Yarrowia lipolytica: one gene and its partner. The protein of the gene in region 1 purifies or fractionates together with the protein of each later gene. This does not show direct contact. Links are inferred from orthologs where the notes say so. Each region holds a gene or a part of one and is shown on either strand. Other genes may lie near its edges. The genes, in order: YALI1_E01159g and YALI1_B11794g.

The links.
Region 2: the proteins of YALI1_E01159g (region 1) and YALI1_B11794g purify together in Saccharomyces cerevisiae (affinity purification with mass spectrometry; 8 studies listed by BioGRID, with this or other methods). This does not show direct contact. The link is inferred for Yarrowia lipolytica from reciprocal best matches to the Saccharomyces cerevisiae genes DIM1 and TSR1.

The regions. Positions count from the first base shown.
Region 1 is NC_090774.1:108,466-123,839, forward strand, and holds YALI1_E01159g (uncharacterized protein), read right to left. Parts: upstream 7,525-15,374; coding exon 6,571-7,524; downstream 1-6,570. Other genes in the region: YALI1_E01105g (beta-tubulin), read right to left, coding at 730-2,064; YALI1_E01133g (uncharacterized protein), read left to right, coding at 4,896-6,263; YALI1_E01163g (uncharacterized protein), read left to right, coding at 7,849-7,940, 8,220-8,445; YALI1_E01193g (uncharacterized protein), read right to left, coding at 8,728-10,866; YALI1_E01213g (uncharacterized protein), read right to left, coding at 11,794-12,855; YALI1_E01235g (uncharacterized protein), read right to left, coding at 13,667-15,118. UniProt on the Saccharomyces cerevisiae protein: Specifically dimethylates two adjacent adenosines in the loop of a conserved hairpin near the 3'-end of 18S rRNA in the 40S particle.
Region 2 is NC_090771.1:1,165,636-1,182,170, forward strand, and holds YALI1_B11794g (uncharacterized protein), read left to right. Parts: upstream 1-13,863; coding exon 13,864-16,008; downstream 16,009-16,535. Other genes in the region: YALI1_B11648g (uncharacterized protein), read left to right, coding at 1-732; YALI1_B11681g (uncharacterized protein), read right to left, coding at 1,612-2,481; YALI1_B11715g (uncharacterized protein), read right to left, coding at 4,837-5,886; YALI1_B11719g (uncharacterized protein), read left to right, coding at 6,323-6,451, 6,496-6,612; YALI1_B11729g (uncharacterized protein), read right to left, coding at 7,163-7,334, 7,377-7,564; YALI1_B11759g (uncharacterized protein), read right to left, coding at 10,223-10,364, 10,410-11,596; YALI1_B11781g (uncharacterized protein), read left to right, coding at 12,563-13,042.

The DNA of each region.
Region 1 (15,374 bases):
GCTCCCCTATCACTCTTTTTTGCTGCAGCGAAGTGTTTCAGTTCCCCACTAAATCCTGATCGGAAGAACTCTAACCTCCGTAGCTCCGTCCATGTCACCCTACAGTACGTACTGTACTGGTACGCTTGACGTTCAGCTATCAAGCAAGCCAATATCATTACACGCCACCGCCGCTCTAGTCTAGAAACAGAGCTGCTATTTCAAAACACTGCCCATATAACCGGCAACGAAACAGCCATCTGTATAGCCATAGACGAGTACAACCATCACCAAGTTGTACACATCCATAGTGACTACAAGTACACACGATAGACACATTCTTCTCACCTGTAGCTATGGTATTGCTGTGTGCACCTTATCACATAGATCACTCGACCGCCTAGCCACCTCCTGTCCCTTTTTAGTACACGGGCTATTTTAACGAGAAATAAACATTTACCACTTCCACTTCCCTGTCTCGGACCATCTTCACGTTCACACAATCTCCGGCTGCACTTGCCCCGCGCAAAATAATCCGTAAGTACCCCGGATATGCCCCTCCACATTTGCTATGTGTAGCCCCAAATAAACTACCAGTAAAAGCACAAGCACACCGGCCACAACACCTCAAAAGCAGGGCCGTAAACTCTATCGCCCACACTACTCGGACTTGTACTGTAGAGCAACAGGCACATACAACACCCTTTACTATACGCCATATAATTAATTAGATAACAAACTAAACTCTCCTTACATCATGTCCTGCTCGTCGTAGAACTCGCCCTCTTCGTCGTCGACCTGAGCCTCCTGGTACTGCTGGTATTCGCAGACAAGATCGTTCATGTTAGACTCAGCCTCGCTGAATTCCATCTCGTCCATACCCTCGCTGGTGTACCAGTGCAAGAAGGCCTTTCGTCGGAACATGGCTGAAAACTGGTCACCGACTCGCTTGAACAGCTCCTGGATAGAGGTGGAGTTTCCAACAAAGGTTCCGGACATGGGCAGACCCTTGGGTGGCTGGGAACACACAGCAGTCTGCACATTGTGAGGGATCCACTCGACAAAGTAGTTGGAGTTTCGGGTCTGGACAGACAGCATCTGGTCCTCAACCTCCTTGACGGAGACCTTTCCTCGGAAGAAGGCGGCGGCGGTCAGGTATCGGCCGTGCTTGGGGTCCGAAGCAGCCATCATGTTTCGAGAATCAAACATCTGCTGGGTGAGCTCGGGGACGGACAGAGATCGGAAGTTAGCGGACTTGAGAGATGTGAGAGGAGCGTAGCCGACCATGAAGAAATGGAGTCGGGGGAAGGGCACCAGGTTGACGGCGAGCTTTCGCAGATCGGAGTTGAGCTGGCCGGGGTATCGGAGACAAGTGGTGACACCAGACATGACAGAGGAGACCAGGTGGTTGAGGTCGCCGTAGACGGGGTGTGGCAGCTGCAGGGTTCGCATGCAAATGTCGTAAAGGGCCTCGTTATCGATACAGAAGGTCTCGTCGGAGTGCTCGACCAGCTGGTGGACCGACAGGGTGGCGTTGTAGGGCTCGACAACTGTGTCGGACACCTTGGGCGAGGGGACAACGGAGAAAGTGGCCATCATTCGCTCGGGGAACTCCTCTCGGATCTTGGCGATCATCAGGGTACCCATACCAGAACCGGTACCTCCACCCAGAGAGTGCGTGATCTGGAAACCCTGGAGCGAGTCACAGTTCTCGGCCTCACGTCGCACAACATCGAGAACCTGGTCGACAAGCTCAGCGCCCTCAGTGTAGTGACCCTTGGCCCAGTTGTTACCAGCGGAAGACTGGCCAAAGACAAAGTTATCAGGTCGGAAAAGCTCCCCGTAAGGACCGCCCTTGACAGCGTCCATGGTGCCGGGCTCAAGATCAACAAGAACGGCTCGGGGAACGTACTTGTTGGCAGCAGCCTCGTTGTAGTAGACGTTGAGTCGCTCTCGCTGAATATCCTCCTCGCCGCCGTAGACTCCGTCGGCTCCGATGCCGTGCTCGCCGGAGATGGTCTGCCAGAAAGCAGAACCGATCTGGTTACCGCACTGGCCGATGGATAGATGGACAATTTCTCGCATCTGTGTTAGCAAAAAGTAGCTGGGTCGTGTTTGCGCTGTGGTACGTTGTGGTGGCACGATAATATGTTGGGAGGTGCTGTCCTGTGCGTGCTGTGGTGTGCTGTAAGCATAGAATAATATCTCCTGAATTTGTTTGTAGACCGCCAGAAGGACGTGTTATCTCGTGATTGTGGACGTGTTATGGGTTTAAAACTTCATCCAATGAAGTCGGACCTCACCGCAGGTCTTCTGTATACACAATCGTCGATATACGTGTCTGTGTCTGTGTCGTTGTCTCTCCTGAATGCCACCACATTGACCAATTCGCATCATCCATAAATAGGGGTCGTATTATTCCCCACCATCAACATATCTGTGACATTCGGTAGACTCGCCTATCAACACAAGCAACAAGGCTCTCAGCCAGCAGCAGACAACACCTCTGTCGCTATCTCGTCTCTAGGTTGTGAATCACGGGCCAACGGTCCATGTCAAGGGGGGGCGTGACGCTCAAAAACCGCACAACAGCTTCCGCCAATCGGAAAAATCGCCCGCTTGTGCGTCTAGCAACACCATTCTCGTCTCGCCTGGTACTCACTGGGTATCTGTATGTGTCGTGGAGTGGTTGTGATGGACAGGAGTTTTTCTGCTTGTGCCCCTAATCTTGAAAACGCGTAAATAAGATTAGTGTTGTTTACGCTGCCGGTTGTCTGGGAGACGCGTGTTACCCGGAAGTGTTGGTTCTCTTAGGGAAGCTAGCCCTTATACACTTCCTTATTGGGACCATGCATCGATCACTGTTTAGAGGCAACGTGTAAAGGGGGTGGTCCTGGTTTGGACAGCGGGGATGGATGATGTGTGATGGTTTTGAGGTTGCAAGTAAAGGGCTGTAACTGAAGAGGACATAGCCGTGTTAAATTCCGGTCCTGAAATATCTTTCAAGATGAATCTAGGGCTACATAATGGAACTGGTCACGTGTTGCACATAAATACGAGCGTGGTGCCAAATATGGTTTCTAGTCCCTGACTGTACTCTGGTGGCTGTAATGATAAGAGGATGAGGAATTACAGTAATAGCTATATACTCGTAGCTATGGTAAAAGCTACAGTATGATGACGATTAGAGAGACCTGTGAATACCGAGAGAAACTGGTTTGTATCTTGTGTCCCTGCTCTTAGTCAGAATATGTCACAGTAGTTTGCGATGATCAGCGAATTTGGATGTATCACTTGGTATCGACACAACAGAGAGAAACAAAACACGATGTAGACAGTGAATTTGACAGCTCATGTTTTGTCATACGTGTTCAGATACTGTGCAAGGACACAGCGTCATAAAGCAATGTCGTGGGATACGACTACTGTATTATAAACGGCCCACAGGTATACTGTACGAGTAGTCTTAACCCCGCACATCTTGCCCGTTTGGTGGTCCTGGGCTTATGACTAGGGATTACGATTGAAGAGATGGTTCAAGGTTTGAGTGATGTTGCACTTTGTAGAGAGACATTGAGAACGGACTTGTGCGGACTCGTATGTACTCGTACTGTACTTGTGAGATACTGCTAAATAAATTAAGTATGACGGATGGTTATATGTCTATAGTCATTGAAACTTATCACTTGAGAGTCGCTTACAGGTATACATGTCCCCTCATCGTCAGTCTTGACATAACTGGAGCTACACATCCGCTCCCTCATATTTTCCTGCTCTTAGCACACGATATTGTATGTACGAGTGGACACTAATACAGCAAAGAGCGGGCGCAGCACGACTTGGCAGTATCCGTTGTCTACTCGTACTTGTAGTAGTCGCGATAATGATTTGAGAGGTTGCTTACAAGCGGCTTGGGGACAAATAATGAACAGTCGCAACGAGACAAAGACCGACAATATTACCTCGCGAGAAAACGGCGAATATTTCCATCAATCTCTGGCATGCAGTTGTCGTGGGGGTTGACTTTGCGCTGCAGGACCGAGCAAATTCACCAAATCTTCTCTTGGCGTGGGCCTGACAAAATTCGCTCCCCTCTTTTTCGGAATAGACCGGGCTGTGGCGGGTTTGACCGGAAGGAGTAGACGTAGCAACAAGTTGAAAAAAAAAGTACATTTTTCGTGCCACTACATGCCCTTGTACGAGCACATACAAATTTGAACCGCATTGAACATGGGACAAACTACAAGTAGCGGTGAGTATGTAAGAGGCACGTATTGGACGGCAATATATGTACGGTAGTATTCGTACCTACATTTGCGCTAAGTGCCGCCGTCCACCTACATACGATACATGTATACGTCCACAGGCTGTAGGTGGTACCTGGTGCTAATACATTTATATGCATTTAAACGGGCATAAAATAGATGTATTACATTCGGGGGAACTCCATGGGCTCTTGTTGCACGAAAAAGTGTGACTCAACAAGGGTCTCATCTGCCTAAAACAGAGCACTCATGCAGACAACCGACATCATGTGCGTATGCCAAGCCGACGGTACTGTGTTTTTCCCAATCAAATACGTTAAGTGGACAAGGCCATATCTCATGCCAGATCCTGGTCCCTTTCTATATAAGAGATGATCTGGCACATTAGCATGGGCTTCTATAACTTCAACAGCGACCTTCGTCACCATTATTGCCCGGGGCCAATAAAATTAAGCACTAAGATAAAGACTGCGGCTGATACCTGATGAGACCAAGCATAGACTAAAGCAGCAAAAAAGGGACCATAATACTAGTATTCAACCAAATCAGCAGTTGCGGCAGTTTCAACATTACACGTTCTTTGAACTTTTATAAGAGCCCAGAGCCTTTCGCTTCATTCTCTTCTTTTTCTACGACACAGCCATCTCCACAATGAGACTGGTTTCATTTCTCCCATTATTGCTGATCCACACGACAGCAGCGACGTCAGCAGATACCACAGCAGTAGATTTGTCAGACTTCTACGCAGGAACAAATCCTAGTGCACTTGATTCGGCTATTTCAGTGCCCGAGGGAAATTACAAGCCCAAACACGTGGTTCACATTTCCAGACGACGTCTGATATGCAGAACCAACGAAGATACAGGAGAAGAAATCTGCAAGGTGGACAATTCCGACCCCCAGGAATCAATCATCGAAGAAGTTGATTGTTCCAAGAAGGAGAGAAACACCAATGTTGGTCTCAGAGTAGGTGCTCTGTTTGCTGTGCTCGGTACTTCTGCTCTGGGCGTGTTCCCTCCAGTGCTGGCTGAATCCATCTGGAGAATCAATCTCGAAACTCTCCCTATGACCTTCATCAAACAGTTTGGCACAGGTGTCGTTCTGTCCACTGCATTCGTTCATCTAGGAGCTGAGGCTACCGAAGAGTTCAACAACCCCTGCATCGGAGAGGTTGAGTACAAGCCTACTCCCCTGGCCTTTGTGCTGGCTGGCCTCTTCATCTCCTTCCTCATTGAATACCTCGGAGCCCGTCTTTTGAGATGGAGAGCAAACACCCTAGAGGCTCGACGAAACGAGAACCAAGACTGCGAGGAGACCAAGTGCGGACATGATCACGACCACGGCCATATTATTGACAACACTGGAGGAGACACTGAGGACTCTGACAATGGGGGAGAACCCGTTCAAGAGATTGTCGAAGATGTTATTGAAAAGGCTCCCTCTCGTCTCTCTTCCTCTTCTGTCAGAAGAAGTACTACTCAGACAACTGCTCCCCCTCCTCCTATCGCCGGCGGATGCCACTCCCACGGTCTCATTGACCCCACTGATAAGTTTTCCGTCTGGATTATGGAGGCAGGTATCATTTTCCACTCTGTTCTGGTTGGAGTCACCGTCTCTCTTGCTGAGGAGGACACCTTCATCACCTTGTTTATTGCCATTCTGTTCCACCAAATGTTCGAGGGTGTTGGTCTAGGGTCGCGTATTGCTGGCCTGAAGGAGTCTCGCCTCATTTCCAAGTGCCTCATGTGCTTGTGGTTCTCCATCATCACCCCCATCGGCATGGCCATTGGTCTTGGCGTGCTTGACCACTTTGAAGAGAACCCTACCACTCTGTGGGCTCTCGGTAGTATCGACGGTCTCTGTTGCGGAGTTTTGGTGTACGCTGGTGTTGTAGAGATGTTAGGCTTTGACTGGCTGTTTGGTGACCTCCAAGATGCTCCTCCTCTTCGAGTCTGCGTTGGCCTTGTCGGGCTCACTCTCGGAATGCTGCTCATGTCCCTGGTTGGACACTGGGCCTAACACTGTCGTCATACATGTGTTACAGGTATATGACGAATAAAATAAAAAACATAGATATTTAATTGCATGAATAGTTCATTGGAAGTGATGAGTGTAGGTCAATTTGTAATTATGTGATATCATCATACACCCCAACTAACATACTGTAATGTACGCTACCCTGAGTACAGTACAAGTACAATAACATTAGTTCAGCGGTACAGTGAAAACCGTTTATTCAATAAATAGCGCCGGAGGTCGGCTATGTCGTAAGATTCTCCTTTCTTCTAACCTTTTTTGTGTGTACAGTAACGTAATATCGTACCTTTTAGGCAAAGTAGATGCCAGCTTTGTGGAACTCATTCAGCAGAGTGAGAAACTCGGTCTGGTCACACTTTGCGGATCGCATTTCTCCGATGCCGGTGTCGGTGAGAATCTTGTTGATCTTCTGCTTGACAACGTCAGAGAGGTTGGATCCCTCAGGAATGATCTCGCCCTGGGTGGAGAGCCAGGTCTGGTAGTTCTTCTCGAGAACTGCCAGAACAGCGCTGGTCTTGAAGCCGGCGTTGATAGTCTTGTTCTTTCGAACGAAACAGACTCGCAGAAGACCATCCCACTCGTTGAAGTCGATAGGAGGCCGGGGGTTCTTGACCTCAATCTTGACGACCGAAGACTCAACATTGGGAGGAGGTCGAAAGTTACCTCGGCCGACCTTCATGACGTGAGAAACCTTGGCCCACATCTGCACATTGACAGACAGTCGGCAGTACAGAGAATCACCGGGTCGAGCCAGAAGACGCATGGCAAACTCGTGCTGGAACATCAGCACTGACACTCGCGGGGGTCGAGGCTGGTTCAGCAGCTTGAAAACCAGGGGAGAAGAAATCTGGTAAGGTGTGTTGGAAATGCAAACGTCAAAGTAAGGAAGCTCTGTCTTAATACAGTCTCCCAGCATGATTTCCAGTTTCTTCTGCTCAGGCTTGCCCTGCACTCGCTTGGTCAGCTCGGCAGCCATTCGAGGATCCATCTCCACAGCAATCACCTTTCGAGCCTTCTCGAGAATTCGAACAGTCAGGTTACCAGTACCGGGACCGACCTCCAGAACGGTATCACTGGGCTTAATGTCGGACTTGTCGACAATACCCTGGGCCACCAGAGGGTTTTTAAGAATATGCTGACCGAGATCAGTGTTCATTTTGAAGACGGCAGTCTTTCGCTGCTCGCCGCCTGCAGACTCCCTCTGGGCGCCTCCGGAGAACTTCTTTGCTGGTGCCTTGGCCATTTTCTTATGCTGTTGTATAGTGGTTTGTGAACTGAAAAAAAAGATCCAAAATTTATTTTCGATTCATGCATGCAGAAAAAGCTAACTGGCATGGCACTGAGCATGCACAAAGAATCGCCCCCAGAAGTGCCTTAATAATCAAAGAAGATTGTTTTGAGCGTTTCCTTTGCAAACACCCGATTTTGTTAGAATGGCATACTTTTAATCAGCCCTTCCCCAAACATCAAGTTCACAATGTAACTCCAACTAACTCTTAACCTATCAGAATGTAGAGATATGCAAGATTGTGACATGGTAGAATAAGCATCACATCAACACAATACAATGGCCAAGAGAATCAGCCGACCCACAAATCTGAAGAGCAAACCACGACCTCTGCCAGTCGACATGCTGGTTCCTGCCGACAAGGCTCGAGGGTGAGTTGAAGGAGGGAGGTGCAATAAGAGAGCAGTATTGATGATCTGGAGTGTACACAGACCTTGCCACAGCGACACAGATACGATGAACGTACCGCTCTAGAGAACCAACACTAGAGCTTGAAGCTTTTTTGTTTACTGGTTTTTGCCTCACAGTCGCGCCATAGGATCTTGGTATATAGACGCTACCACAGTCTTGTGATACACTGCGGTACACTTGTGCTAAGCTTGGGTGAACTGTGTTTTGACATTGCTCTCATTATTCGACTTCTAACACAGATTCAAGATGATCCTGCTGTCGCTCCCTTTTGTGGTCCTCTCGTCAGTCATTCTCTACAAGCGTCTATACATGGGAGAGGACAAGCGCGTTCAGATTGGTGAACAGACAGAGGAGGGCATCCGATGGTTCACGCCTGAGGAGATTAAGAAGAAGGACGAAGAAAAGATCTTCACCAAGGTCTTTGGAAATGAAGACTGGCTCAAGAACAGCAGGACTAACAACTAATCCACCCACATATTCGTCTGTATTCTGTATATAATATATATTTTTCGATGCTATAGAAATGGTGTGTATACGTAGCACTGCCAGAGCGCTTTGAAAACTGTAGAATTGAAAAAAGATCCATATCCCTCGGTACTGTACCTGTACCTCATCAACAATCCTCCTGGTCAAAGGCTTTGTGTGATTTGTAGTCAAGGGGACGACCTCCTGTCACACTTAGAATCAAAGCCTTAAGCTACGTCCCCACCATAGGCCACGGTCAACGCGATCTATGGTTGAGAATTCCTACCGGACCACTGGTTTGGCGATACGCACGCCAGCGTTGGCAAGAGACATACCATCACGAGAAGAAGCACCTCTAATGCCTTCCCGAGACACTCGTCCAGAGTGGTACGAGTTGTATCCTTCTCTTGACACTGCTCGAGGAGTACTGGGAGGCATCAGAGATTGACGCTTCACAGGTGAAGGGAGAAAGGAGCTTCGGCGACTGTTGCTGCTTGTGCTGGACTCGCTACGTCGCCTAGAGGCGTCGGTCAGGACGGGGGTGTCGCTAACCGACCGCATACCTGAAAGACCGGCAGCTCCAGTTCCTGAGTAACTCAGACGAGGCTTTCGAGTAGGAGTAGCCAAGGGGGTCGCGTAGGAGCCTAGTCTAGATGACGATCGGCTGGCAGGCCGGTTTGGAGAAGGTAGGGGAATGAGAGACTGTCTGCTTGAACCGTTAGGCTGAAGAGAAGGAGTCTCACCTAGCTTCACTGTAGAAGTAGAACCGATAGATGATCCAAAAGACGTATCGGAACAAGATGATAGCGAGCAGATGGATGCTGAATCGGGAGTGGAAGGTTTGCTGCCCAGTTGGGGGTATCTGTGGAGCAGTCTGTTTGGAGAGTTAGTAACGGGAATGAAAGATTTAGTTGTCTTGAGACTTCTAAACTTGTTGAAAATGGCAGCATTGGGAATGGGTCCGCTGTTGCAGCCACACTTTGAGTCCTTAGAGTCCCTCAAAGTGGTCCCTTCGCCTAGAGAAGCTGTAGGAGACTCAATAGACTCCAACGTCTCCATGATGACACTCATATCATGCAACGGAGACTTCTTGTGTGAACTGGTGGATGGAGGCAACTGAATGTCTTTGAGAGGTACCACTGGCTCCGATGCCTCCAGTGCGTCTGAGTCAGGTGTAGACACAATCACTGACGAAGAAGAAGAGTTGGATAAATCAGAAGAGGATATGTTTGCATAGTCGTTTCGCTCCTGAAGCTGTTTGTCGCTTTCAATTTGCTGGTTCAATTTGCTGCTGTCGATATCTCGAAGTACGTGATTCTCGCTGGTTGAGTGTCGTTTGATCACAGGCTTGGGTGAGAATCTGTCCAGAGACACAACTCGCATATGCAGTCTTCTATTGACGGGAAACTGGGGTGCGAATGACAGCCGTGGCGAGATGGCTCCATGATCCGATATCTCTGTGGTTTCAGAGCACTCGGAGAAGATTGACGAGTTGGTAGACAGTCTCTTAGTCGATAGAACCTTAACTTCCTCCACAAACATGTTCTTGTCGTTGCAGACTCGCTGGAGAACAGTCAGTAATGCCGCGTCGAGATCTTCACCGAGCTGGTCGATGGCCAACTGCAGAATCGAAGACCATTTCTTGGTCGACAACTCCTCATTCACCAATGCAAACTCCCCCTTAAGATTGTGCCACTGCTGTTCCAGATTGGTCCAGTTCATGTTCACCAGAGATGAAAATGTCGGGAAAATGGGCTCACATCTGGAAGAGAACTGGGCCACCCTCTCGGGAATGAAACCGAGAGACACAGTCAGCGGCTTAATCTTGGTATCGTTGAGTTGACAGAAGGTCTCCTTGATACTTTTGTCCTGACGAGTCAACCAAGGGTATACTTCTTTGGCCACATGGTCGAGTTGGGATGCAGAAATCTGCCCTGTGAAACTAGACTCGAGCCGTTTCTCCTTGATCTCAAAGACCGTGCTCATGCATTGACTAATTTCCGCGTCGATATGTCCAATCACTTGTTCACACAGCTCAGTGTACTCAATAGCCACTTCCATCTGGTGACACAGTGTCGCGATTCCCTCCAACCTTTCTTTGTCGTGATCTGTATCCTCCGCATTGTGTCCATCATTGTTGTCGATATCATCCTCGTTCCCTGCTGCTAATACAACCAGCCTTGGTGTGTCTTTGACCAATGCCACAAGCCTTGGTAACAGGTCTGTATGTTCCAAAAACCACTCTCCTTCAGAGGAGCTATTCTTAAGAACTGGTTCCAGCGTGGCCTTGCGCTGATTGACGAACTCATGCAAGCCAATCGATGATGGTCTAACATAGTCGATATCCCAAGTTTCCCATCCATTCAGTCGAACAAAATCGTCTCTCTGCTTCTCGAGATTGGAAGCACACGTGGATAGCATGTTATAAGTGTTTGTGTCGTGCAATTACCATGAAACTGGCTGTCGATAGCGTACTATGGCTGAAGTACGCTTGCTATTGCTATTACTTGTCGAGTGTCAAGTGTCGAGTGGAGTGTCGAGTGTTTGTTTAACGTGTGTGTGTAGTGTCTGTGTGGTGGAGCGCTGTCCGAGTGGTGTTGCAATGTCCTAGTGGCCTGAAATGCCGTGCTGCCCTCTTATGTTCACCCTGTGTTATGACACGTCTGATAGATATGTGGTTGAGATATCAGTTGGTATGTAAACCAGCTCTCTGGTAACGTTATGTACGCCAGCACTTGGAGTGCATGTTTCATGCTTCATTGCATTCTGCCTCTGGGACAATCTAAACATACGAAACCTTGGAAGGGAATATGTAAACATAGCGAACACAAAACATAGCAATTGTGTATGCAGGTCAGTGTCAAGTACATGAATAATAATATTGAATCCCAACCTCAAACACATGAAACAGACCCACATATCACCATCTATTTACCTTGGGTATCACACACTATGTATAGCTGACTGCTCATGCTGTACAGTGCGGCTGCCTTTACAGTCTCCCCGGCAACGGACCTTAGGCTGTATCACTTAAAGTTGAGTCTAAAAATCGCCCACAAAGAAGTCAAGAATGTTCCGGTTGACAATAATATTCTGCCATATGCCCCATCCCCTTCACCCTGCCTAAGAAAGTACAGCCCCAAACGCGCTGGGCGGTTCACGTATATTGTAAATACACGAACCTCCTTCTATGTAGGGGCTTCTCTCCAGGAAAAAACATGGCCTGTCTACAGTTGGCATGTGTGCACCCTAATCCCAAGAACGCACTCAGAGAGGGTGTACATATGTCAACTATGTTATCACCGAAAAATATCATTACTTGTACGTCACAATACCATATCTCCTTTTTTAGTTAGCAATTTCATCTCGTCTCCATCCGACACTTCGGAATGTAGTCAAGTCCTTAGAAGGTTGCGGTCGCCCGTTGTCAATGACGAGCGCAAACGGGTTTCGATCGGAGGTCTGGTGCAGATTTCCGAAAGTGTGATTCACTTCACAATGCTTAGCTTCGTCGGCCCGCACATATTGGATTAAATCACGCATGGTACAGTCGTCCTCCATATGCCAGTAGGTTCTGGCGATGTCAGGAACTTCCATCGATGCGAGCTCCGGCAGACGTCCGGCGTCAATGTCTTCCAGACACCTGGTGTAGGTGATGACAGCCTCTTCCTCAAGGTAGCCCACGAACCGATGACAGGTTGCGGGGGAGATCAAGTAAGATATGAAGAAGAGGTTGTAGAAGATGATCTGACCGATCAGGAGCCCAGTGCGCATCTGTACACTAGGCTTCTGTAGCTTCAAGAATGTCAGAAGATGCATTCTCTCATTGTAAGCTTCCTCAACCAGAGACTCGATCCAGGCTCTATCACGTCTCAAGGCACGTAGCGAGTGAAGGTGTCTGATCATCCCGGCCACCATTCCGGGAACTCCAGCAATGGACTCTAGAAACAGGAATCTGTCTAGCCACTGTCTGGTGGTCATACGGAACTTTGGTAGATGGGCTTCCCCTTCTTTTGGGTGCTTGTAGCCGGTGCATAAGTCGAAAATGATTCTCATGAGGAGAATAGCTCTCAGGGCGACCCGGTCGGAAAACGTCTCAGTCTTTCGATGATTGACCTCGAGAGCGTCCATCTGCTCCTTGGTGTAGACTGGATGGATCCAAGCGGAGCCTGTGAAGTACTCATGGTGGTGCGATGAGGTAGCGTAGAGAGACACGTCATCGGGTTTGGAGTTAGCCATTGTGACAACGGAAGCAGCAGTGGATCCATAGGCTGAAGTGGTATCAGTAGCGAGCTCAGTTGAAGGATTATTCTCGTCTTCATCGTCCGTCGATCTGAACCGTCCCAGAAGGTTTGGGGCTCGAGCATTGACATAGGTCTGGCCTCGGTTGGCCCAGTCTCTGACAGTCATGATATGTCGTGGATTTGTGCGTACTTTAAGAAGGTGAAATTAGAGAAAATGGGCTTTTGTTATATAAGATGGATGTGGTTTTGTGTCCCTTACATCATGTACAGTAATTATCACAGTGATGGGTTTTGAGTTCCTTATCCACAGCTTAATTTTCACCTGACGGACATCACGCGAAGAGAGTGACAGGGACGTGAGGTTAATCTTCCGAGTTTGAATTTGACATACTGTAACAACATATTATTGAATTTGCAGAGCCCTTGAACTATTACGGGATAGTCGTTCCACGTGATCCCTCCATGTGCCACATTATAGGGCATGATATCTGCGCAGTTTCACTTTTTGCAGATTATGCACCACCGTTATATGTGCATGGAGATGGAGCATCTGGCAGGGCTTGTATGTATACTTTAGGGAAGCGAGATGCAGGATTCTTACAACTGCGCACTGGGCTACAATACATGTACTCTAGGTACTGTAGCTACTGTCATGGGGAAAAATCAAACCGCGTAGCAGTGATACACCGATTCACGTGCCAGAATCTTGTGGAATAGGAACAAATCTGGTGCGAGTTCGTGTTGCTTGTGAGACTCAGGGGTACAAGTATGAGTACGGTGCAAGTGGCTAAGGGGCAGGTATTCGAGCTAGAATAAGTCACTAGATGTACCACTACTCGCACCACTACGTCTCTGCTTTAATCTACACTGTTTTAGAGGTTCTATAATGCTGTATTTTTTATGTGTTATAGACCAATTAGTTGGCCTCATGCAAGTCACGTTGGGGACTGAATAAATAAGTGTTGAAAATAAATACATCACCACTGGGTGATTTCGACCTCGGCCTCACCAAACAGCGATGACTTGCCCAGCTCGCCCACCTTGGCCTCCTCCCAGGAGACGCCGTTGGTGTTGATAATGTCGGGCACGTTGGCGGCCAGGAACTCGACAATCTCCTTGTTAATGAGAGCAAAGTCCAGCAGGAAGGCGTCGTGGCCCTCAGGCGAGTCGATGGTAACCAGGTGCGAGTTCTTAACGTTTGCGGCAATGAGTTCCTGCTCAGCGAATGTGAAAAGTCCGTCAGACTTAATACCAATGATAAGAGCGTTCTGCTCGAGAGTCTGGAGAGCAGCCTCAACAGATTCGGCTCTCTCTCGAGACACATCATGAGTGTCCAGCTTTCTGGTGATTGCGATGTAGCAGTTGGCGTCGAATCGCTTTGTGAACTTGTCCGATTGGTATCGGAGGTAGTTTTGGGCTGAGAAGTGGGTGGGTGGCTTCTTCTTGACAGCAAGAGGAACAAACGAAGACGAAGAAGAGACAGAAGATGTATCGTCGAGAATGGAACCGTTGGTGCTCACGCTAGAGGGCTGAGAAACACCGTTGGCAGTGGGAGTGGAGCTACCTTCTTCATCGGCCATCTTCTTTCCTCGCATGTGACCGTCGTTGTGAATGAGCCAATGCTCCTCAGAAGCAGTCTGAGGACCTCGTCGTTGGGGTCCGTTAATTGTCTTATGTCGAGTTGGGTCGGGCGTGTCTCGTCCAAACTTGTTTTCAAACGAGTCTCTGGATCGGTAGGTCAGCAGAGCAGCCATTCGAGCGGCTCCGAGGCCCGAGGAGGGCGGATCTTCAAACGAGTAGTACCCGTCGTCGTACTTGGGGTCCGAATAAATGCACTGCCGCTGGGCCTCTCCCCAGGAAATGCACCAGGCTGAGTGTCGAGCCGAAGTGGCGAGCGCCACAAAGGTCCGCACGTAGTCCTTACCGAAAAAGGCGTACTCCAGCGTCAGCATGCCGCCCATAGATCCTCCAATGCAACAGGCGATCTGCTTGATTCCTAGGTCGTCCAGCACCAGTCTGTGGATGTTAACGTCATCTCGAACGGTCACCAGTGGGAACTCGGGGCCGTAGTATGTGTTCTTATCAGCTCCGGGGGTGTTGTCAGCGGTGCAAGGAGAAGCCGAACCGTAGGGTGATCCGAGGGAGTTGAGACACACAATGAAGAATCGGGTGGGATCGAACGCTCGGCCAGGGCCAATAAGAGGGCCCCACCAGTCGGAGACGTCAGCGGAACCGGTAAGAGCGTGGCAAATAACCATGGCGTTATTTCCAGCTTCATTCAGAACTCCCCACGTCTTGTAGGCGATAGGAACATTGTAGATAGTGACTCCGGACTCTAGTTGGTATTCGGGAACATGGGCGATTTCCTGGTCCGAGACCAGTCCCGAGAAGGGGTTTTCTTTGACTACTTTAGTCCGTCGGAATTTCATGATGGTTGTAGAAGAAGATGAAAAGATGTGAAAGTGAGCTTCTGTACCCAAATCAGCTAGGACTATTGGTTTACCAGTGGAGAATAACAGATGACCCGGGTCCTTATGCGAGTCTATGTGTGACCTGAAAGCTTGTTGCACAGCTGAAAGATTTGAGCAGTGTAGTGGCGAGTAACCCAAATTTTGTGTAGGCGAAAATGCGACGTTAATGACAAGTAACACTCGGTGGCAGCCCAGTTATATACATGTTTAGCTG
Region 2 (16,535 bases), on another chromosome or scaffold:
GGGCATGACGACGAGGAAGACGATTGGTCTGACGAGTCGGTAGATGGAGATGACGACGAGGAGAGAGAAGAGGAGATGGAAGAGGTTGAAAGTGGTGATGAAGACGAGGAGATGGAGGACGGCGAAACCGAGGAGGATGAGGAGGAAGGAGACGAGCATGATGAAGATGAGGAGGAGGAAGACTCTGAAATCTGTGACATGCAGCTGCAGAATGATATCAAGGCCGGAAAGGAAATCTTCAACACGTATGGAGACCTGCCAAACTCCATGTTGCTGGCCCGGTACGGTTTTGCCATCTGGAACAACTCGCAGGAAGTCATTTCTCTGTGGAAAGAAGCCATGGCCTACGCCAAGAAGGCTGGACGAATGGACCGGCTCAAGATGCTGCGGAAACGGGACCCCGAGCTGTCGGAAAAGGTGTTTGTGGCCTACTCGGACGGCGATGTGAACAAAATTGAGTGGGGACCTTGTGTCAACGCCATGCTCACTCTGCTGCTCATGACCGACCAGGAGTACAAGAAGAAGGTGTGTTCTCGACGTCTGGACAAGGATATCAACAAGGCCAAGAAGCTGTTGTTAAATGCTCGACTCAAAAGGTACGAGGATGGAGGTATGACTTCGGAGGAGTACAAAAAGGTGCTGCCCAAGGTAGAGGGAACCAAGAAGGCTGCCATTGTCATTCGAGGTACTGAGAAGAAGGTCATTGAGACCGCTCTCAAGACGCTGAAGTAGTTTGGATGGGTATTATAGGGGATGCATTGGTCTGAATGATACAGACGAGTTGATAATAATGAAAAGTGCATGGTACAGTAAACAGTAGATGAAAAGGCAAATCGATACTTGTACCAGAACAAGTCTGGAAAGTAATAGAAGGGCAACACAGGTATAAAACATGCAAGAATCGTATCAAAGGTGCCAGAACGATACCTTTCTAGCCTGGTTACTCCGGTCTTTTGTCAGCACCTTTCTAAACCAGTAGTCCCTGTCAAAATCGGAACTTCATCCAATCCGATATAGTGTAGGGGCTATCACATCACGCTCTCAAGTTGAGAACCGTGGAGACCGGGGTTCGATTCCCCGTATCGGAGTGTATAGTGTCGTCTAGACGTATTCTTTTTGCTGTGTTGCTAACCACATATCTTCAAAAGTTGTGATGATTTATGTAATCGGAACTTTGAGAACTGTTCTTAATTTTCGGATATGGAGGTTTGAGAAGATGGCAGCAGTTGTCAGAGGTATGTTCTTGTTATCGTGCGACTTTCAGAGTCGTTATAAGAGTATTCGTGACTCTGTGGTGTAAGTAATGAGGGTAGTGCTAGAAGAGGACATAGTACATAGGCAAAGTCGGTGAAGACTTGTAATATTGACTTGAAATTTGATATTTATACCAATCGACCCTCTTCAGATCTATTTGTACTTTTCAGAATTGAGATCTGATCATTATTGGTCATGTTAGGATGCCCTACTCCAAGCCAACAGGCAAAGATGAATCCACTAGAGACTATTAAATCTACAAACATTCGGCTAATCATGACATAAATATATTGTTAAATGGTGCTAAACAGTGTGAGTGAGTTAATGAGAGAACTTTCAATGGTTAGAGGTGAGTCTTTAGTTGCGGAACAGCGACAGTCGTCGTCCTAACTTCTTCAAGTTACCCTGGCTCTGTCTGGTCTTGACTCTCGAGAACTGGCCGTATCCGTCCTCGTCAAAGGCGTCGTATCGGTCCGTGACGCCCTCCGTGTTATATCTTCCCCGGTCTTCTTCTCGCGAGTGGTATGTGGTCAGGTTGTCTGTGTCGTCGGCCAAAGGATTGTCACCGTAGCTGTGGTGATGGGACACTGGGGGGGGAGGAGGAGCCTTCTTGGTGGCCAAAAAGTCCAGGTAGTTGGGGTCGAAGAGCTCCTGTTGGCTCATGTGTTCCGAGTGGCTGGTTTCGGGCTTTTCTTCAGGTAGCGAGTCGGCCCAGGGGTTATTGGAGTTTCTGGACGCGTTGGTGCCCGATCTGTGGCGGGTGGAAGGCGTGAAGTTGAAGGAGCCGGTGCTATGGGATCTGGTTTTGGGGGGGTCGTAAGCGGGAGCGCTATTATTGATGGAGTAGACGGAGGAACTTCTGGAGTTGTCGTAGTGAGACGAGCTGTAGGTATCTGCTCTCTTCATGGCCGGCTTGGAAGCCTTGGAAGCCTTGGAAGCGGTTCGTCCGTTGCCTTCCCGTGCTCGATCAAAGCCTGGCTCGTATTCCAGAAAGTACGAGGTGGAAGGCGGCTTAAGAGGTGATCTCTTGGGACTGGAGGGGGACTTGGAGGGGGACTTGGGTGTAGTGGTTCGGTCGTGGTAGCCATAGTCGTCATCCAGAGAGGTGGCCGAGTGGTTGTATTCGTCGTTATGGAGCTTGACGGCGGAGGGGCGTCGCTTGATGTACTTGGAGGTGACCTTTCGGTACTCCAGCTGGTTCTGGATCTTGCCCAGGATTGAGGTCATAGTGAGTGAGTGAGTGGGGGGGGGGCAATGGTGAACGAAGTTGACCTACTTGTAGTATGAACGACAGACGCTGAGGTTCGAAAAAGAAGACAACTGCAGACGCTGCGCTTTAGTACTAGTCGCCCTCAAGGCTAACCCGCTATACCTCGGAGGCGAAGACGGCCCATTACAGTTAGGGTGCGAGACAGGATGCAGATGCTGTATTTTTATTTTTTTTCTTGGGAAGCTCAGAGTGAGGTATATTGAGTGGATATCAGAGACATGGATGGCCGAAAGAAGGACAGAATCCGGTGAAATCAACTGGTGGAATGAAGTTCTTGCTGATGAGGTGGTTACCCCGCTCCTCGCAACCCCACAGGGGCTACGACCAACCTCTGTTGGCCAGGGTAAACTTTTCCGAGAAATGATACTAAGCTCTGCCAAGATTAGTCTCGGAGCCAAACCGAGGAGGCCCAGAGGAGACCAGCACTTTACGGGCCTTGGCCATGCACCAAAAAGTGTGCCAGTGTGCGGTACAGAGGCACAGCTCACGCTCACATACCAGCCAAGACCGGGAGCTATACGCGACGGGCCTTTTCGGACTATTTGACGGGCTTCATAGCACCGATTCCGACTCTGTAGATGCATGAGCGGTGAATGGAGCTTCGACATTCACTTATAGTACATTCCAAGTAGCCCCTTTGAGTCTCTTGCTACGCTACAGTCAGTCTTCCTACAGGCTCCCCACCGAGCCTCATCTGTGACGAAATCTGGCCGACATCAACAGCGAGAGTTTGGAGAGTTTGTCGCTGCCAACCTTTAACGGCTCGGAAATAATACCCGGAATCCGGGCAAAGAATCTCGAAAGTCGGAAATGAAAGCCGTTGGTGGATCACATGATTGCCGAAAGACGGTATACACGATGTACACTGACGGCCTTGTACAGTGACTAACGGTCTCCAGGAGTAATACCGTAGCACCACAGCTACTGCACCCCCACACTAACACTGAGCTTCACTCGGTGGATGGAATCGCGTGGCACTCAGCCGTGGTCTTACTCCCGTTCTCAAGCTCATTCTCAACACTGTAAATACATTACACCCCGACTTGTACACAGCCTTGTAGCCCGACCAAAACCAGCCCGAAGATTAATTAGGTTGTGGGGTGATCATGAGATCAGAACATGAGGGTGTTTACGAGTGATGTAGAGGTTGTCGATGGTGTCTGATGGTTGATGGTTGATGGTTATCTGGGTGTCCTGTCTGATAATTTCAACTGCAATGCCCTTCTGGGCCTACGCCTCCAAAACACGGTTAAAACACCCTTTTCGGTCCTAGAAACGCGGTATTTGGATATGGTACTCGTAGACGCCATATCTACCTCCCTGCAAACCCCCAACTCCCCATCTCTATTACTCGTGGTATTTCAGGTCATCGTTTAAATATAGAACCGCAAGGCACAGTGAACCTTCAGTCGAAAGTATAGTATAGAAACTGCCAGACTGATAATTACAAATACAAGTGCAGAAACACAAGACAGGACGCCCATTCCAAGACCTGGCGCTTGAGATGGTCCAAACCATGTCTTCATGGTATCGTTTTGATCGCTGCGAGCTCCAGAGTACTATTATATATTCGAACCCCCATAAAATCCACACCATCTTCAACCATGCCCACTGGTAAAAACCATCCACACACTACAAATGCTATTTCTATTCCTGCTCCCCATTCTCCAATCTCAACGTTACACCTCTCTGAGTTATTTACGTCACTTGCGATCAGGCACTACAAGTAGTACATACACTTGTAGCTGTGAGTAGATGAGACTGTGATTCCCTTTCTATAAAGCAAGCCGGCGGTTGCTTGCATTTAGTTGTATTTCACACCATGTCTGTAGTCTGACAGAAGACTATGAAAAGATAACCGCTCAGGCGGTTGTCGCCGGAACCAGCGAACAACAATCAATCAAATCTATTCGCTGTATATATGCAAAGAATATGTATAACCATGTTTGCGCGCCAAATGTGCCACTGGTCGACCGTTTCTAGAATAGAGTGCGTAAGACAGCCAAGGTGGAGGTGGTGCTGGAACAGGTACAAATAAAGAAGAATGCCAAGTCGTCATTAGAAGAAATGTGAATACGATGATGCGAGCAAGCGACAGGGGGCGTCTGACTCAGATGGAGAGGCTGCATTAGAGTGAGAACATCATCTCGTTTATCTCTCTTCCGTGCGTGTCACTCTATCTGGCCCACCCAAAAGCTCAAATGCTATGATTGGCGGCGCGTAGGTTCGTGTTAGGCTGGGTATATGTACGCCGGAACCGTGCCTTTCCTCTTAAGAAGGTCGTTTTTTCCTCCTTTTCCTTCTTCCTACTTTTACGCCTGCGATCTGTTGGCCTCCTTGACGGGGAGCGCAGATTCGGCGCCAGAGTTGTCGCTCTTTCGGTCGAGCTCCAGCTTGGCGTACCAGGCTCCTCCCAGCAGCGTCACAAGAATGCCCATCATGTTGAGCGGGGTGACGGTGAGGTTGAAGAAAAAGATGGCCAGCACAATGGTGAGGATCTGCTTCACGTTGGCGGCCACGGTCATGGTCAGCGCGCCCGTCTTCTTGTTGGTGGTGAAGGAGACAATGTTCAGGCCAAACGCAATGATGCCGTTGAGCAGCAGATGCAGCATCAGCTTCTGGCTGTACTCAAACTCAATCTCCGTGTAGTCGATGCCTCCGAGGAACGACAGCGGGCCCGAGGTGGCAGAGGCAGTGGCACCAACCACGTCCTCGGGGCTCGAGAGCCGAAGACCCAGCACGTCCAGCTCGCCGGCCAGGTAGGCGTAGACGAGGGTCTGGACAAATGCAAGAGGTGACATACGGTAGAGCAGCTCGAGAGGGGAGAGTCTGAACCGGCCGGTCTGGATACGGTTAGTGACCACGGTCTTGACGGCCGCGAGAACGGCGCCCAGAATGGTGAGAATGAAGCCCATGGCGGTGAAGTAGTAATCTCCTGCAGTGGCGAATCCGACGCCGGCACACACGAGAACCAGAGACAGGTAGGTGAGTACCGTGTACGAGTGTCGCAGGAAGACCACGTTGATGAGCATGGCGAAGAAGGGGGTGGTTGCCCGGACCACCTGGTGGAAGGGCACGGTGACCATCTGCAGCGACACGTTGGAGATGGCAATGTTGATGGTGTAGAGGATGGAGAAGAGAATGAGGGTGGTGTTCTCCTGATCGGATAGCCGGGTCAGTTTAAAGACGCCTCTCCAGTGTAAGAGCGCGCAACCCAGAGTGCCACACAGGGTGTGGATGCCGGTGAGGGTGTACGGGAAGGGGAAGGATCCGAGGACCGCCTTGTTGAAGAGCGTGAGGGCCAGGTTGAAGAAAAAGTAGAGCCCCAGCCAGGTGCATTGTGTTCGCAGTGTTTCTGTCATGGTTGGGTGTCCTTGTGTGGTGATGGGTTATGTCGTCAGGATTGTCGTCACGGTTGTCGTCACGGTTGTCGTCAGGGGTGTCCGCAATGTTTCTGGTGTTGTGTCGTGTAAGATGACGTGTTGGACTGGTGTGATATCCTTCAGGTTAACGAATGACTTGTTGACTGGTGATGCTGTCCTTGTATGATACTTGCACTTGGTTGCGTGACTGATAAGACAAGATTGGTGCTAGTGATAAGCCGGGGAAGTTGGAGGTGGGTGTGATGTCGGTGGAGCGCTGCCAGACGGGAGATGTGCTAGGAGCGAGAAGCGTGAGGGAGAGAGAAAGAGGGAGGGCGAAAGTGGTTGTGTTTGGTGATGTTGAGAAAAGGGCACTTGGCGCTGCAGCTGCCATGCTTTCTTGTGGTGAAACAGTCGGAGGGATAGTTTAGGCTATATGCTGGTGGAGCTTAATGCCATCACGCGAGAAATGAAAATTGAAGGAGGTTTTGGGCAGGTGAGTTGGGCAAGTTTTGGGCAGGTTTTGGGCAGGTTTTGGGCAGGTTTTGGGCAGGTTTTGGCGGTGGTGATTCGAGCTGTTTCAAACCTGCGAAAATAGATCGATTGTAGATATTTGTCTGCCCCATTGCCTGTCTAGATGTCCAACTGTCCAACTGCTGCACGGCAGATTTTGCACACTCACAAGAAACAAAAAAAAAAAAAAAAAACCAGACTTGTGGTGCGTGAATGCATTTGAGGTGACAACAAGGGAGCGGTAGAAAGACGTCAAAAATAGCCCAGACAAGGCACCAAAAGGGGGGTGGAGACTTTTATCTGCGGCTACAATAGTACGCGCGCATCCAGGGGCTACGCGTTGGTGGTGGTCGATATGGGTGTCACAACCAGATGGACAATGTGTATCACCAATATCAAAAATGGCAAGCTATATTTACTCCATTTCCCCATTTGGCTCCACCCGGCTGAGTCGCTCCGAACTCTAGTTGCCCCAGATGTGCGGTTTTACGTAGGCTTTTTGGGTCACCACTTTTGCCGGCTCTGCAATAGGCAAGCTCAAAATAATAGTCTCTTTAGGTTGAGGGTGGAGAGGGATGACAGCGGTCGAAAACTGCAGCGGGTAGCGCGTAGCGGGGGGCTTGGGTTGGAAGGGGGCAACTTGCACTCAACTGGCGGGGGCCTGGCGAGTATCTCCGTCTGTCTAAATCTGCGTCCGGTCCTCTCCATCGGGCCCCGGTCCTCCCCATCGGGCCCCGGTCCTCCCTAACGGCCAACTCTACGGTCAATAAACACGGGGCAATGTTAACGTTGCAAGCAAGGGATGGTGTAGAGCTACTGCGGCCGTTAGTGGGCTACTTGGACTAGTTTGGTTACTAACTGGGTGAGCCCGGTCCCCGATAATACGCCAACGACAACGGTGACGACGACAACGACGATAACGAAGACTCTCTTCCCTCTCCGCCTCTCAGATACACTCCAACGACGATCAGCAGCACGTTTGTCGTGTGCTGCCAAGCCTCCAGACGCTAGAAAGAGTGGAGATTATTGGATGTTTTTGATAAGCCGACTTTGGTGGTTTGGTGGTTTGGCGGTTTGGAGGTTTGGCGGTTTGGAGGTTTGGCGGTTTGGGGCGTGGATTTTGGGGAAATGCCAAAGATGCGACCGCAGAAGCCTGCCTGGGCATGTCGTACCTAGAATCGTATTCCCGTGCCTGAAAGATGTGTTGTATTGTAGTGTCGTGTCGTAGTGTCTATTGTGCAAATGTTTGTCTAGCATTCCACACAAGGTTCGGATATCCATTGTCCCATGCACAGCATTATGTTATAAAAAAAGCACTAATTTTATTTTTTTCCAACGTTCACTGGAAGTGACCAGACAGGCAAGGAGATAGTGGAAAAGTGACAAAAGACAGTGACAGCCAAGTACAGCAAAGCACAGCAAAGTGACATCATGAGCAACTGCGAGGCGACATGGAGCAACTGTTGGCAACGCACTGTTGGCAACGCACTGTTGGCAACGCATTGTGGCTACGCATTGTGGCTACGCATTGTTGGCAACTGTGGCCACTGTTGGGAGCAACTGTAGGCAACGCAACCTCTACACCAACTGCTTGTACAATACCAGTACGCCAAGATCAATCGCCATGGGCTGACTCCGGCCTTGCCCACCGTGGTGCAGAAGGCATCGACATTGGTCCGCTGTCATACGTCATTGCGCGGCTGTTCCGAACGGCCTGCCCTGAGAGCGATACAGTAGTACGACTGCCGTCAAATAGCCGAGACCTGGCACCTGGTTAGCCCAGCTCAGTCCGCACACCGCACACTCCATTTACGCCGCTTCCTCTGGCCACAAGTAACTTATCCAAAATAACTCATCCAAAATAACTCTCCTTGTTGCTCTCCCTCCCCTCCCTGTCTCATTCGCTTGGGTTTCCATGCTCTCGTATAAAGCGTATTCTGTCTCTCTCGGTGGGTCTAATTTAGGAGACTTCACCAACCGAGTCCACTGACTAAGATGCCACCGAGCCACAATGCCACCGAGCCACCAAGCCCCAATGCCAGAATGCCACCCGAGGTACAGATGCGTTGCAGACACGTTTCTTCGTCTCCGCCAATGTGTGCGGAATGTGCCGTACATATCTCCTCTGCGCCATTGTCATCATTGTTAGAATTGTCATCATTGTTAGACCGGCAGAATTGTACCTACAATATGGTAGGGTTCACGGCAATTACTGCAGTGACCACCCCAAGGTTGCCATTGTGGAGCAGGTGGAGCCGGCAGGGTAAGCTCCAGCGTCGCTTTCAGAGCCGATCTAGCCCATTTTGAACATGTTACGGCCGTCCAAGACCCACAAGGAGCTGTCCAAGCCACTCAAACTCCCTCTCCCATCCACCCAACTTGTACTCGTACGGTGCTTCTCCCACTTTACTTCTCACTCAACATTCCCAAAAGAAAGAAAAAAAAAAATTTGGAATGCATAGCATACTCCGTCGGAAAGTCTGATGTCGGCTCCCGCCCCCTTTCCGGCCGGTCAGCGAGTCGGCCTCCGAGATACAAAAGAATGACAACTGACAGATCACGTGTCTTGTCGCGGTTCTGGTTTGTCGCGGTTCTGGTTTGTCGCGGTTCTGGTTTGTCCTGATCTGGTCTTGTCGCAGAAGCAATAGCTGCTATACTACACCCTTCTTTTAACGTCATCCCTCGTATCTCATCCAACACTACCTCCTCCAACGTTACACTGCCGAGTCTTGCACCTACTCTCAAGGACCCACCGCGTATCACCACCGCCGATCAGGGGGCAGCCGATAAGACGTTGGGGACACCGTCTGCCGGCATAGCCCAGGCCGTATCGATGAGGTGGATCTGAGACGGGGGTATTCAATGTTTCGTATGTCGATGCAGTACGAGACCGATATTGGTAAACCGTGGATGGTGTATTCGTACAGTACCGGCCATCTTTCAAGTACAGTACATACTTGTACTGTGCTCGTGCCCATACAGCACTTCATCGCACTGTATCGTACAGTATGAATGTCGGATCGGAACCCGATCCACCTCATCGCCCCGAACTGGAATAATTAAACCCTCGCACCCCCGCTGAGACAGAAAAAGAAATTCGTGCTGCCGAAATTGGTCCACCATACGAGGTTGCTACAACACAATAAGCGAGCCAGTGAGCGCTATTTCGGGAGAACCGCGGGGTTGCACCAGGTCATGTGATCTCATCTTCCATGATTCGGTACCGTCACGTGAGTTTTGGCGAAACTCAACTCCCCAATATGGCGTCTATATGGACATGCTAAATGGAGGAGAGATAGGAAGAATACCACATATGGTGCATTACTTGTAGTAGGTAAAGAAAGCTCAAGTAAAGACGGACGCCACCATACAGCACACGGGGGTCAAGAGGCGTCACATACCCCAACAATAAGACACCAGCCGGTCCAAGACCTCCCACGTTCCCCTTGTTAAATCTTTAACAAAATCAAACTATAATGTCAAGTAAATTACAAGATATGCACCACGTCACCCCATTCGATCTTTGAAGATTCCACAGATTCCACTGACATCAGAACACAAGCAGTAGGTCTATTTTCAATGAGATTGGCAATAACACAATTATTGTACCGTACCGTCGCCACTAGTCCCGAGTGGCCACCTTCCATGAGATACCCCATTGTCTTCAAAGAGATCACCTTCAGATGTATCGTCACAACATCACAGGTAACTGAAACAACGCTCAACCGCCTCACACACATACAAATACCCGGCGGTCGCTCCCATATCGGACTCATTACGCCACTACGTCCCACTGTTCGTTCTGTCATCAATAAAAATGCTATTACAATGCTATAAGGTCATCAAGACGTCTATGCCAATCCCTCGCAAACTGTGCGAACCGTTGCAAACGGCTGCAACCAACACCATGAAAGACTCGTACATACTCTGTATGTATCCTATGCTCCAGCTCGAACTCGTAAGCACTCGCTTCGCGCGTACTCTGCGGCTCGTTCGCTTACTGCAGCAACTCGTCTCGGTAATGCTTCTGGAAGTTGTTTCGTCGCAACTCCCATGCATCCTTCCTGTTGGCAACCCGCTTCTCCTCCTTCCAAATCTTCTTCTGCTCTCTGAAAGCAGCAGGGTCTCTGACATCGGGCCGTCGAATGTCCACAGCATTGACAGTGGCTTGGCCGTCTCGAGGCTCGGGCTTGAGAGACTGTTTGTAGTACCGGGCCATGGATCTGTGTCCGATTCGTGCACCGGAGGGCAGAGCCAGCTGGGTGCCGGTCTCGTCGGTATAGAGCATTCCGTCGTCGTACTCGTCGTCGGAGTTGATCTCCTCATCGTCATCCTCCCAGTCCTCATCGTCGTTGGCCACGGCATCAGAAACAGGCAACTTCTTATCATAGGACGAGGTGAAGTCGTAAAAATCTCCCAGCTCGAGCTTCTCGTCCTCAGACTCATAGGGAATTCGCACGTGGCCCTTCATGAGCATGTGCTGTCTCACAGACTCGAGCGATCGGCCCACAAAAGAGCACGACAGACACTCAAAGCCGAGACCGACCTTCTGGCCCAGGTAGGACATGAGCCCGGCGAGATCGGTAAGATACTTCTGCTCGGGAATGTACAGAGAGTACTTTTTGGTCATGTGCTCAACGTTGGCTTCCACGGAGTCGTTATGCACGCCGCACACCACACAGTCCGTGTTGGGGATGGCTCGTCGCAGTGCCAGCTTGTTGATGGTATCTGTGTCGAGATGCTTGACGCTCTGCAGGGTCTCTTCATCGAGATTAAGGTGCTTGAGCTTTGTGTTGAGGTCTTCAGATAGGGAAGAAGACACATCCGAAGACTCGTCTCCGTTTGTGGCAGTCTCGTGGATGGCATCGCCCTCAGTGGGAGTATCAACGCCCGAGCCGTAGCCCAGAGAAAACTCAGACGCCTGGGACTCGGTGGGGGATGAGGGTCGCACGACTCGTCGGGCCATCCGCTCCTGGTACTTCATCTCCTTCTTTGTGATCTGCTTCTGTCGTCGCTCGGGAACAGCCTCGGACTGCTGGAGCACCTTGGACGCAAACACGTTGGCAGCGATGGGCAGCAGACCGGCCACCTTTCGCTTGAGATTGTATCTGTGCCAGTCCGTCTTCATGTGTTCACGCTGCGTTTCCGAGTTGGGAAACTGCTGAACACACGTGTTGCATGTGTATGTTGTTGACATGGTCGTTGAAGTATTTCTGTCTTGTCGTAAAAAAATTGTGTTGGTGGAACACTGCTAAGTCATGAGAAGATAGCCAAGTCTATATAAGAGATACCATGCAAAAAATTCAGAGTATCTAAACCTAGTTGCAAACCTTATGCAAGTATGATCGCAAGTGTGATTCTGGAGCAACCAAGATATGAGGGGGATAGCGCGGACTTGTCAACACAAGAGTGATACCAGAGTGACCGTCTCGCCTCTCCGAGTCGATCGGTGGTTTCAGATTGTTCTTAGCTTCCCCACACACCGAAATGTACCTGAGCCACTCTCTCCGCCTTGATCTACGTCTCACCCATCTTCTAGATGATTCCTAACAGCATAGAAACTGCAAGTGTGACTAGAAAAGAGCATCGGAGACGGCTGAAGTCCATGGTGAGTTCCGAATGGACTCTATGGGATCGATAGAGTTGTTGATACTAGTATTTCAAACGGAGTGTGGCTGAAACATCCCATATGCACGGCTGGAAGGTGGGATACAGTGGAGGGAGGGAGGGGGAGCGAGGTGTTGGCTATCTGAGCGTTTACTCCTGCTACTGTCCACTCTGAAGATCTACAGCCAGATGCTACAGTATAAAGGCTGTATGTAGTTTCGCTGTCTGCTTTTTGTATGCGCAAATACCGATATGTACTTGTAGAAAACATTCTAGCCCGAATCCAAGTCCGTGATATCAACGGAAATCAAAAGATTTCAAGCGATAATGACCCTTTGACCTATCAGGCAACCGCCAAATCATTTACAGTGTCTACCGGTATTCTGTTCTACAGTTTCTATCCTCTCCATTGCTTCTCTATCCACTACTTGTAGATCCCTCCACCACTACTCGGACGAACAGAGCTTCCAGATGGAACAAGAAGGAAACACGGACTTTTTACCAAGAATGAAGCACTCTATTCAAGAAAGAAACACTCCGTTTAAAGGTCTTGGAGATGCTAAAGCTCCTATGTACGGAGTATGTACTTGTACGCTTCTTCACGCCAGTCTTAAGTCGAGATAATACTTGTACCAGTCCGCCCAGCCAAAATCCCGCCTCAAGCACCGGCTACAAATGTGCAAGTAGTCTGACAACTGCCCGGTATGATGTCCGTCTCTCCATCATCTCCGTCACCGTCAAACCCCCAGCACTTCCCCAGTGGTCCTGCCGCTTCGAAAGAAGTACTAGTAATGTACGTACAGCAGGAGATCCCGTGATGCAGACTAGGATACGAATACGAGTATGTACATCTCTTGTACTGGGCTTGTATATACACAGAAAGGTACAAGTACAAGTAGCATCAAGTTGCCACATGAAGCACCTTTCTACAGTCGGTCTACAGTCTACAGTCATCGTCGGCTACGCTCAGGATTCGCTCAGTGACATAGATCTACTACGCTCGTCGACTAGTCGAAGAATAATTCATTTTTATTGATAAATACTCATGAGAGACTTATCGGAACTTGGTGAAACCAATGTCAGCAGCCTTCTCTCGGAAGGACTGTCGGCAGAGGTTGAGGCCGTACTTTCGGATAACAGCGTTCTGGTTGTTGGTGATTCGACACTTTCGACCGCCCTTACCGTAGTGTCGGGGGTGGGAGAACCAAATGTTTTCGTGAGCCATCTTAGTTAGTAAATGTGTGTGTTTGAATCTGGTGTTTTACGATGAAGCCAGCGGATCGGAAATCAACCACCTTCATATAGAGAAGGAACCGGCAGATTTTTGCAGTCAGAGTTCCGGTGGCAAATGGTGGCAAATGCGGGACTCAGACATTGGTGGGGGACACACACACGAATCATGTCATGATGCTGTTCACGACCAACGACAAAATTCACACAATCCCACCAGCCATGCCCGTGTTGACCTCGTCGTTCCGGCAGCAAATTCCCGAACGCTCGTTCATCGTCGTTTCGTCGGTTTTCACCTCGCGTTCCCTCAATCCCTATCGCTTTCAGTACCCACCTTGAATATCTGTCGTGGTTTTGGTGTCAAAGAGAAGTTTCAGAAAATCGATAAATGCTCCCAGCAGGACTGCAAACTCTGCGTTGGGAAATTCACGTGACTAGGGTTTAAAAAAGTAGGGTTAATTGAGAAGTTGTGGGTTCGATTCCCAACGGTGGCCATTGTCGTCAGTTCGATTCCAGGCACCGTCAAAACTGCCATAAAATAAACTTCTAAAGCTTAAAAATATTCGTGCATGTGCAGCCAAAATTTCGACCCTCTATTCTTCACATACGACGACATTGGATAACGAAATGCACTCACATCGATCCAGTAAAAAGTCGCAGAAGCCATTCAAGTCCAAGCATGCGTCCAAGGGCTCGATCAAGGCGTTGAACAAGGGCAAGATCGAAAAGGCGTCTGCCGGAAACAAGGCAGTCAAGACTATGGGCAAATGGGACCGGCGGAATCAGAAGGACCAGATTCGGGCTGCCAAAATGGTCGAACTGGCAACGGACCGTAAGCTGTTTGACGGCAAGAGCGGTGCCCCCAAGATTGTCACTGTTGTGGGCATGAGCGAGGACGTTGACGTGAATGGGCTGGTGTGCAAGATGATGGGTCTTGAATCTCTGCAGTCCAAAATCAGCACACACGAAGTCGAGCGATTCAAGCAGAAGTTCACGGTGATCACCCCGTCGTTGGACAACTTTCTGGAGGTTTTGGACGCTGCCCGAATCGCCGATTTTGTCATCCTGGCCTTCTCTCCTGTCGCTGCCTTTAACGACTCGGAGTACATTCTCAAGTGTGTTGCTGAGCAGGGAGTGAGTAATGTCATCTCTGTAGTCACAGAGACCGGAATGCTCACCGACAAGAAGCGCGTCGAGCGAATCGACGAGATCAAGACCTTTTCCGACTACTTTTTCCCCCAGGACAAGATTTTCGATATTGAGAACGCCACCGACTGTGCCAACCTGGTGCGAAACATTGCGCAGAAATTCCCCAAGGGTGTCAACTGGCGTGATCAGCGTGCTTTTGTGCTGGCTGATAACGTCCAGGAGGTTGACGGCCAGGTGTGCGTTTCAGGCGTTGTTCGAGGCAAGGGTTTCAATCTTCTGAGAACTGTTCATCTTCCCGGATACGGCGATTTCAAGATCGCCAAAGCTGAGGTGTTGAAGCATGGACAGGCCGAGTTGGTCATTCCCGGTGAGGACGTTTTGGCCAAGAATGACGGTGACGATGAAGATATGGACATGGAGGAGGATGACGTCATGGAAGAAGAAGAAGAAATCCAAGACCAGCAACTGGGCGTAAAAGTCGACGGGCATCATTACTTCCCTGACACGGCGCGAGAAGCCATGCAGGAAAAGTACGCCAAGCGCCGAGTCCCCAAGGGCACGTCTGAGCAGCAGGCCAAGTGGCTCATTGACGAGACTCTCATCAACTCTGACGACGAGTTTGAGGATGAGCAGATGGAGGAAGATGAAGTTGATATGGATGCTGAAGATGGCGCTCACGTTGAATTTGACATGGACGAGGAAACACGTCAGTTGGAGGAATACAAGAGCCTCCGAGAAGAGCTCGATTTCCCTGATGAAGTCGAACTCAAGCCTGGCGAGTCAGCCAAGGAGAGATTCGCAAAGTACCGAGGAATGAAGTCGCTTCGAAACTGGGATGCCTCTCAGGATGACTACCCCGAGGAGTACAAGAATTGCGTCACCTTCAACTACAACGCCATGAAGAACCGGGTTCTCAAGGACTCCACAGACCTGCAGCCAGGACAATACGTCAAGCTTTACATTGAGGCTCCCGTCAGCATTGTGTCCGAGGCCCAGGAACACGCAGACTCGCCGTTTGTTGTCTACGGACTGCACAAGTACGAGTCGGACCAGGCCGTGTGTCATGTGACTATGAACCCCTGTTTTGACCAGGAAGAGACAGCTCCCATCAAGTCTAAGGACGAGCTCATTTTGCAGCTTGGACCTCGACGACTGGTTGTAAACCCTCTCTACGGAACCGAGTCTACCATTGCCAAGTTTGACCGGTTCTTGACCCGGCCCTGTATGGCCACATACATTGGACCTGCCACCTTTGGCAATGTTCCTGCCCTGTGGTTCCGAAAGTCGGAAAACGGCGCGATGGAGCTAGTTGGAACCGGCTCGTTCGATTCCACCGACCCCCGCAAGATGCTCATCAAACGGGCCGTGCTCACCGGCCATCCCTTCAAGATCCACAAGAAGCTCGTCACCATCAGATACATGTTTTTCAACCCCGAAGACATCAACTGGTTCAAGGCCGTGCCGCTCTTTACCAAGATGGGCCGATCGGGCTTTATCAAAATGTCTCTAGGTACTCATGGATACATGAAGGCTACTTTCGACCAGCATCTTAACGGAATGGACACCGTCGCTATGGCTCTATACAAGAGAGTGTGGCCAAAGGTTGCCAGAGAGTTGGAGTAGACAATTATTAAATGCATTAACAGTTCAATTAGCAGTCCAGTTGCTCGTAGAGAGTTGAACGGCCACTACTGCACACTCAGCACTGTAGCATTCAGGTACATGCCCTGGTAGAGGGATAGAGATAGGATGAAGGGTAGTTTTCATGGGGTGATTTATGGAGTTTTTCAAGATGAGCACAACCATCTTTACACCCAGTCAGTACTCTGAAAGCTGGATTGTTCAAGTACAATCACCCAAGTAAAAAACCATGGTTGGGTTTTCAGAAAATGTCAAAAAAATGTCACATTTGGCCATGTTCTCGACTCAAGAAAGGGATTCAGGACACAAAAAGTAATCTAGTACTGATTTTATACCCACCAGTGTTCTTCTCATGTCTCTGGCATGCCTGGAAGTTGTGGATTGAGCCCCAGTACAACTTCTGGCATAACTAATTTCCAACTAAATTTAATGAAGGTTGATTGCAAATTACCAGTAGTAAAAAAAAAACAAACCAAAAAACAAACAAACAACAGTATGAATACCCAATA